Linked DNA regions of Oryzias latipes. Each later gene encodes a partner of the first gene's protein in a complex. Links are inferred from orthologs where the notes say so. Each region holds a gene or a part of one and is shown in the gene's direction. Other genes may lie near its edges. The genes, in order: kif11 and histone acetyltransferase KAT2B.

What was found.
Region 2: kif11 (region 1) and histone acetyltransferase KAT2B share a complex: the UniProt entries of both Homo sapiens proteins name them as parts of the large chromatin remodeling complex. The link is inferred for Oryzias latipes from reciprocal best matches to the Homo sapiens genes KIF11 and KAT2B.

What each region holds. Positions count from the first base shown.
Region 1 is NC_019873.2:10,607,614-10,611,436, reverse strand, and holds part of kif11 (kinesin-like protein KIF11), read left to right. Parts: intron 1-1,307; coding exon 1,308-1,404; intron 1,405-1,557; coding exon 1,558-1,653; intron 1,654-1,821; coding exon 1,822-1,910; intron 1,911-2,177; coding exon 2,178-2,265; intron 2,266-2,584; coding exon 2,585-2,658; intron 2,659-2,746; coding exon 2,747-2,861; intron 2,862-2,956; coding exon 2,957-3,028; intron 3,029-3,796; coding exon 3,797-3,823. UniProt on the Homo sapiens protein: Motor protein required for establishing a bipolar spindle and thus contributing to chromosome congression during mitosis. Required in non-mitotic cells for transport of secretory proteins from the Golgi complex to the cell surface.
Region 2 is NC_019869.2:22,455,629-22,459,451, reverse strand, and holds part of histone acetyltransferase KAT2B, read left to right. Parts: intron 1-45; coding exon 46-109; intron 110-183; coding exon 184-268; intron 269-2,231; coding exon 2,232-2,425; 3' UTR 2,426-3,823. UniProt on the Homo sapiens protein: Functions as a histone acetyltransferase (HAT) to promote transcriptional activation. Has significant histone acetyltransferase activity with core histones (H3 and H4), and also with nucleosome core particles.

The sequences.
Region 1 (3,823 bases):
CATTCATTTTGACACACCCACAAGCAGCCAAACAGCACGAATGTCATTTCTGCTCTTAGTCCCCTTAGTCATGGTGCAAAAAAAAGAGAAATCCATGCTCAGCCATATCCCACAATCCCTTGCAGCTATTAGACCCAGCGTCCAGATGACCGCCAATACAATATGACGCAGCTTTCAAGTTGAAAGCAATCGTTAAAAGCGGTGTGAAAAAATCCACCATCACCAACGGGTTTGGAAAAGCCGGTCTGCTGCGTGATGGAGAGGACAGCGCAAGCTCAGGAGGGAATCTGCCTCAGGATGAGAGTGACACTGACAGCGACAACGAAGGAGAGACTGAGAGAGTGTGGCCAAGAATGTCTGACGCTATTCCAATCCGACACTGAGGAGATAGACTTCCATGGTTCAGTGCACAGGAGGAAGATGAAGAAAGCTCTCAGTGACTTTTCTGTTCATGTTTTTCAAACCAGCCCTGTTAGTGCTGTGTTACGGTATGTCACTGTTGTGGAAGAAAACTTACAGCACATGCAGAGGCTTTTTTTTTTTAAACCAGCTGTTACTACCATATTGCTGCCGTGTTACTGCCGTGTCACAGGCACTGTTTGGAAAGAAAAGCTCAGGTATATTATTAAAACTTTGAAAACTCTTTCTGTGTACCGTCTTTCTTTGTAAATATCACGTTTTGAACCTTCCCTGCAATTACTCTATTTTCTTTCTTTCCTCATCTTCTTTCATCTTCCTTCGGTTGTTCACTTCCTCGTTCAGACCCCCAGAGCCTCCCTCCTACTTCTTGCGCATGCGGTTTTGGCACATTCACATCCTCAATCTACAATACAGTGTGGCGACCTGGAGGTTAACCCCGCCTTCAGCCCCTAAGACTCATGGGAAGTGGGGAATCGTGGGTGTAAAGTTTTTCACCATGACTGAGGTGGCTGTGAGCAGAAGTGACATCCATGCTGTTTGGCTGTTTGTTAGTGTGTTGTAATAAATAGGCTATAATACTGGTAAGGTGAACATGCAACAGTATGTTTATTTCCCTCTCTGAGCTTGTTGGTGATGTGCAGAATGTATACATGTTCAAATAATGTGTTTAAACATAAGCGCATGCAGCCATATACGAATTTACGGTATTTTTCTGCAAAACAAAGAAGTACACTAAAACAACTGATAAATACTTTACGATTACGTAATCGTGGTCTAAGTTGGTTGAGATGGTGGTGATTGAGATTGTATGGGCCTTTCACTAATACCTAGCTGATAAAAGTTGTTGAATGGAAGTTTATTATTCAAAATGTGTTTTCTCTTTGCAGAGAGTCTAAGCTAACCAGAATTCTGCAGGATTCCCTGGGGGGTCGAACCAAAACGTCAATCATTGCCACAGTTTCTCCTTCCTCCAGCAATCTGGAAGTATGTATGCAGACTCTGACGACCATATAGCTTTTAAAACAATAAACGTTGAATTTCTCTATTTTAAACCAATAAAAGGTGGTTTTACTGCTTTATGGTTCCTCAGGGATTCCTCCTGCCCTATTAAAACATGTGTATTTGTCCGGCCTGTAGGAGACGCTGAGCACGCTGGAGTATGCCAGCAGAGCCAAGAACATCATGAACAAACCTGAGGTCAACCAGAAACTCACCAAGAGGACACTCATCAAGGTAGGGGGGGGGCATCCAAACTTTGCTGCAATTTAGAGCAGATGTTACATGTGGGATTCTTTAAAAAGCATCTGACTCTGAGGACAGACTCCATAATTTTTCTCCGTGTTGAACCGTAAACAAACACTCCCTGCTTCTTCTAGAAAACTTTACTTTTTCTCCGGTCAGGAATACACGGAGGAGATCGAGCGCCTGAAACGAGACCTGGCAGCCACCAGAGAAAAAAATGGAGTATTTTTGTCCTCCGAAAACTATGAGTGAGTGACAGATTTGAATTTACTTGATCTTACCAACACATTTTTTTAATTGCTTTAGCAGGGACTTTATTTGCTGCAAATGTACAGAATTTCCTTGATAAGGCTGTGATAATGTAATGCAATAAACCTTCAATTTGGGACATTTCTATTCTTTTTCTCCGTTATGGAGGAAAAGTCTCAGTTAAAGTGAGTCTGGAGGTGATGTTTGTTCTTCATCCAGCCGTCTTCAGGTCAGAGTTGGTTTGATGCAGCTGCTTTGTCCTTCAGGAGCATGATGTCACAGATCACAGCTCACGAGGAGCAGATCACCGAGTACACGGACAAGATCGCTGTCATGGAGGAGGAGCTTAAGAAGGTAGCAGCGCCCAACCAGGCTAGAGTCAACATCCAGATTTATCCTGACTTTGAATGAAAACTATGGCAGTAAATCACCAATAAGAGATGGATCTAGAGCTTTTATTGAGAAATAACAAAAAGATTTTTAGGTTTGTTTTTATTGAAGGTTTGTAATTAAATAAAACGAGGAGGAGGAGGTGGTCTCCAGCTGAAGATCCAAATGTATGCTTGTAGAAATTTCACTCAGGTTTATTACCAACACAAAGACGGCTGATGTGAGAATGTGTTACTGTTTTCATCTCCGTCAAGTCTGACAGGTGTGGTTCTCTGCCCTGCAGGTGACTGAGCTGTTCGAGGATAGCAAAACCCGCCTGGAGAAGTTCAGCGTGGATCTGGATGAGAAGCAGCAGAGGTAGAGTACCAGGACCCCTTTGGCTTTCACGCGAGGCAGATCAGAGGTTTGAATAAGTTAAAAAACAGATTTTTTTTTTGGTTTCCAGGCTGGAGGAGACTAGCAGAACCTTGGAGCAGACGAAGGAGAAGCTGGTCCATGAGGAGTTCATCAGCTCAGAGCTCAACACCGTCCAGGAAGCTCTGTACAACACAGCCGGACAGGTAGAGACCCCAAAAGCCGGTCCTTCCTCCAAACCCCCCTCCCTGAAGGAACTCCACATGACAGCATCAGATGCTTAATGTTTTCTGTTCTCCAGCTCCTGAGTACAGTTCATGCCAGCACCAGCGACGTGTCGGGTCTGCACGACAAACTGGACAGGAAGAAACAGGTCAGACACTCCACTCCACGGATTCAGGGGCGGAAAGTTTCTCAACAAAGAACTGAAACGGTTTCAAGGCTGGAAAACATGTTTGGTTTTGACAAAAGCTTTGTGCAACTGAGGTCAAATACACACTTTTGTCTTTTTTAATGCACATTTAAACAAAGAAAACCAGAATCCCAGTTCATAACAGAGACTGGATGTCTGTATTGTTGACACATAAAAGCCCCCATGTTTTTTCTGATGGGGTTGTGTGTCGGTTTACATGGTGCAAATCAGGTTGGGAGTTACTGGTCTTGTGAATACTCTAACATGGCTAACGAGTAGCGTTTTACAAACCAGTTGTAGAGTTACTATGAACACAGTTAATAAGTCTGTCAGTCAGACTCTGTCTGAATCTTGTCTCACTTAATGCAGCTTATCGTTCAATGTGCCTTAAATATGACCTGTTCAAAAACAGACCGTTCATTGAAGGAGTGTCATATAGTGTGGAAAAATACAAAACTTTTTTCACTAAAGTTTACAAAAACATTTAAAAGGTTTAACCAATTTAATTTTTAAGTGTTGCAGAAAAACCTAGAGACCAGTGGGAGGAAAACACATTGAGAGATCGAAGATACTAGTGTAAAAGTAGTATTTTAATTTTCTTTTTTAAACACATGTACTTTTCTGCAGTTCATTGGCTGCTGCTGTCCGCTCAGATAAAGATCCATTCATGTCTGTTCATCCAGCATTGACGTTGTTTGGCCAGACTGATGGTCTGCTCTTATCCTGCAGGTGGAGCAGCACAACCTGCAGATGCAG
Region 2 (3,823 bases), on another chromosome or scaffold:
TAAAACATTATTGTTACAATTTCTGCTTTTCTATTTCTATTTCAGGAAGGAACTGAAGGATCCAGAGCAACTGTACACCACTCTGAAGTCCATCCTCCAGCATGTGAAGGTGAAGGACAAACCCGTAAAAACATGCACGCCACATCTGTTTATGTTTTTTAAACTCAAATCTGCATGTTTCAGAGCCACCAAAACGCCTGGCCCTTCATGGAACCCGTGAAGAAAACAGAGGCACCGGGTTACTACCAAGTCATTCGCTTTCCCATGGGTACGTACTGAGTACTAATGAGGAACCGACTCATGTCAGCTTGTTGAGTTTGATATGAAGCAAGTGTCACAATATAAGTGATCAAGGCCTTAAAATTAAAATAAGATTACCGGAATCAAATTTCCTGCTGCTGGTGTCAGGGCTGAGGGAGCACTGCAGGTCTTTGGTTCTGATTCATAGTCTCATCCTACATTCACATCGGCCTCTGCAACATGCACTCAAAAATGAACACTGAAAAATGAATGTAAGCCCACATTTTTGGCTTCCACATGTAAAACGCTCATGTTCACACAAGTACAAATTACACAGCCATTGAACGCGCGTTGAAAGTTAAACCAGTTCAACTTTGACCAATCAGGGACTCGGATTTGTTGGTGACTTATGGATGGCATGCTTTTTGGCCAACCGTTTTAAAATTGATCTTGAAGGAGAAATTAATAATCGCAGTTTGTTCCCAGATCGAATTCTGACACCAAGTCTTTCATATATCTTGTGCTATCCTAGGCACTTTGACATAGGGAGTTGGGTCATCTAGACCAGTGGTTCCCAACCTTTTTGACGCCACGGAGCGGTATGACGTCACACAAATTGTCACGGACCGGTCATTCGAATTTAGGCAGGTGATTTTAGTAGCAATACTACGAAGAAGGAAGAGACGGGACAACACAAAACCCGAGCTTTTATTTTGACACGCACAACATTGTACATCGCACAGGTGTCATCCTCCTCTTCTCTTCCCACACTCATAGTGCAAAAAAGAAGTACTGTCTATTAAATGTAGCTTTCTTTTTTTGGAAGTCGAAGGCTCCTCTTTTGTCTCCAGGCTGAGCGTTTTCCCCTTGGCAAAGAAACTTTCCAAAGACTTTTGTTTTTTATTCATTTTGCTAGCTCCTTGGTTTTATTTTAGCGGTAACCTATCACGTGACCGAGAAGAGCGCCTTGGCCTGCGTCAAGAGTGACATAGACAGATGTAACAGAGAATCGGGCAATTTTTAAAAATAAAACATCTTTTAGATTCTGAAATTAATAAAACGGAAGTAATGTAAGTTATTTATTCTTTCTGTGCGGCCCGGTACCAAATGACCCATGGACCGCTGCCGGTCCACGGCCCGGGTTTGGGGACCGCTGATCTAGACCCCACTAGACAGTGCGCTGAACTTTTTTCTTCAATGATTTGTGATCTTCACTGGTGTCCATGGATTACATGAAATCTTTTCCACCTTTATCCACCTTTGTCATGGTAGGGAGAACACATCAATGGTCATAGGATAGCACAAGGGTTACATGGGAATAGAACTGTGATAGAAAATTCCTGGAGCAAGATTCACCAGATTTGACAACATTTCGAACAAACACTCTTCCAACTATAGGTCCATGCGCTAGTATTGTGTGGCGACAGACCATACACTACACGTGCGTTTCAGAAAGCCCTTTTTGTGTGTTCTCGAATGCGTGTCACATGCCTGGTGTATACGGAGCATTAGCTGGGAGGGTTGTGGGATGTGGGAGGGAGCCGCCACAATTGTGTGAATGTGTGTGCGAATGGGACTGTGACTGTAAAGTGATTTGGGCCTTGAAAAAGGTAGAAAAGCGCTATATAAGCATACGCAATTTACCATTTACTAGCATTCATTGATGGTGAAGAAGAGTTAAAAAGAAAAAGATGCTGATCCATCTCCAAGTCTCCAATAGCACGAGAAAGGTTTTGCACAGTTGATGGTGTAATTTAGTTGGTAAATAGCTAACAATATTTAACAATTCACCTAAATTTTGTTTCCAAGCACAATCATCTGACTCGTTCCATTTAGTGCCGATTGCTTTTTGTCTCAAAGTAATTATCAAAATATTCACGTTAACATTCTGCTCCGATCATCTTTTGATCTGTTGTGGTGTTCCCAGTAGAGATGCTATGTCATTTTAGTTGTCCCAGTTTCTATGAAAAACTCTTTTTTTTCTCTGCCAGACCTGAAAACCATGAGCGAGCGCCTGAAGAGCAGGTACTACACCACGCGCAAGCTGTTCATGGCCGACATGCAGCGCATCTTCACCAACTGCCGGGAATACAACCCACCGGAAAGCGAGTACTACAAGTGCGCTAACCTACTGGAGAAATTCTTCTACGGCAAGATCAAGGAAGCAGGTCTCATTGAGAAGTAGATGACGGGGAAGCTGCTTCCCCTTTGAGAAGGGTGGGGGACGTCCCAAAAAGGTAGAACTACTGAGGAACATCTCGTGATCTCCAATCAGCAAATCCTTGATAAGTACCTTTATTTTGAAAGGCAAAGAAATACTCTTAAAGGTATTAAGTCTTTTTTGTGTTTGGATGAACAAATAGGACTTATTTAAAGGTCTTGTAACACAGCCTCTACGTACATTTTGCGAATTTTCCCTGTATGAAATTTTGGTCTTTCGTGATACATGCGTGATATAGTCATTCACAAGTGTTTCTTGTGTTTTTCATTCATGTGCGCAGCCGGTCGAGGGTTTCACGCGAATTTGGTGTTGAGCCGTTCAAAACTTTTGGTCGGTTTAGAATTAAGCAGTTTGTGTGATTTGCGTTCATACGCATTACATAAACCGTACACAATTGTGTGTGATTTTTGCAAGATGCACATGCATATTTGTAGCTTTCCACAAAACGTTCCACGTATGTCTAACGGACTTTTCACATGAACCACGATGTGTGACTTTTAAATTGCGTATACAGCACATATATCACGTTAAAATTATGTAACTGACGCACAAATTTTGGGCCAGCTTTGGCTTTTGCGCTGATTTATGTGTTCTTTGCGTGGTTTATTCGTACTTCTTTCGTGGTTTTAACGTGGTTCATTCTTGATACATCTGTGAACATTTCACATAAAGACCACTACTTGCACATTTACTCACGTATGACCATTTTTCATCCATGCAATATGCGCTAAATGTACGTAGTGGCTGTGACACCACCTTAACAGAGAAGTGCTGTTGTCGTCCATATTTGACACTAAAAAGGCAGCAGAAAATGACTAAAATATTGTTTTTTTTACACTGCCTATTACACTCACTTGACTCAGGTAAAGCAGTCACGTGAAGGACCTTTTTTCTGTGTGGAAACGGCGGTCAAAGTGTTTAACCGTGAAGTAAAGTTGATGTACAGCAGCACTAAGGTCAAAATCTACGAGTTCATTTTGCCAATTACAGGAAATCATAACTGAAGATGTACAGATTGTAATGAATTGTAAGCACTTATGCCATCTGTATATTTTAAATATATATATAAATACAGTATATTTTCTTTTCCAGAACTATTTTTTCCAGCAAGCCACAAAAAGGCAGTTTGACTATCAGAAAGCACTTTTTGGTTTTATTTTTTTCCAAGTATTAGTTCATATACTTTAAGCTTTGTCTGGACATAAAAATGACAGTAATCTAAAGGACTACTTTAATTATCTTAGTTTATTCTTATTTATGTGCTTTAATTTAGAGAAAAAAATTATTGCGCTTAAGACAATGTCTTAATTTATTTTCTTATTTTTGAAATACAAAGATGAAAAACTTTATACTTTAGAGATG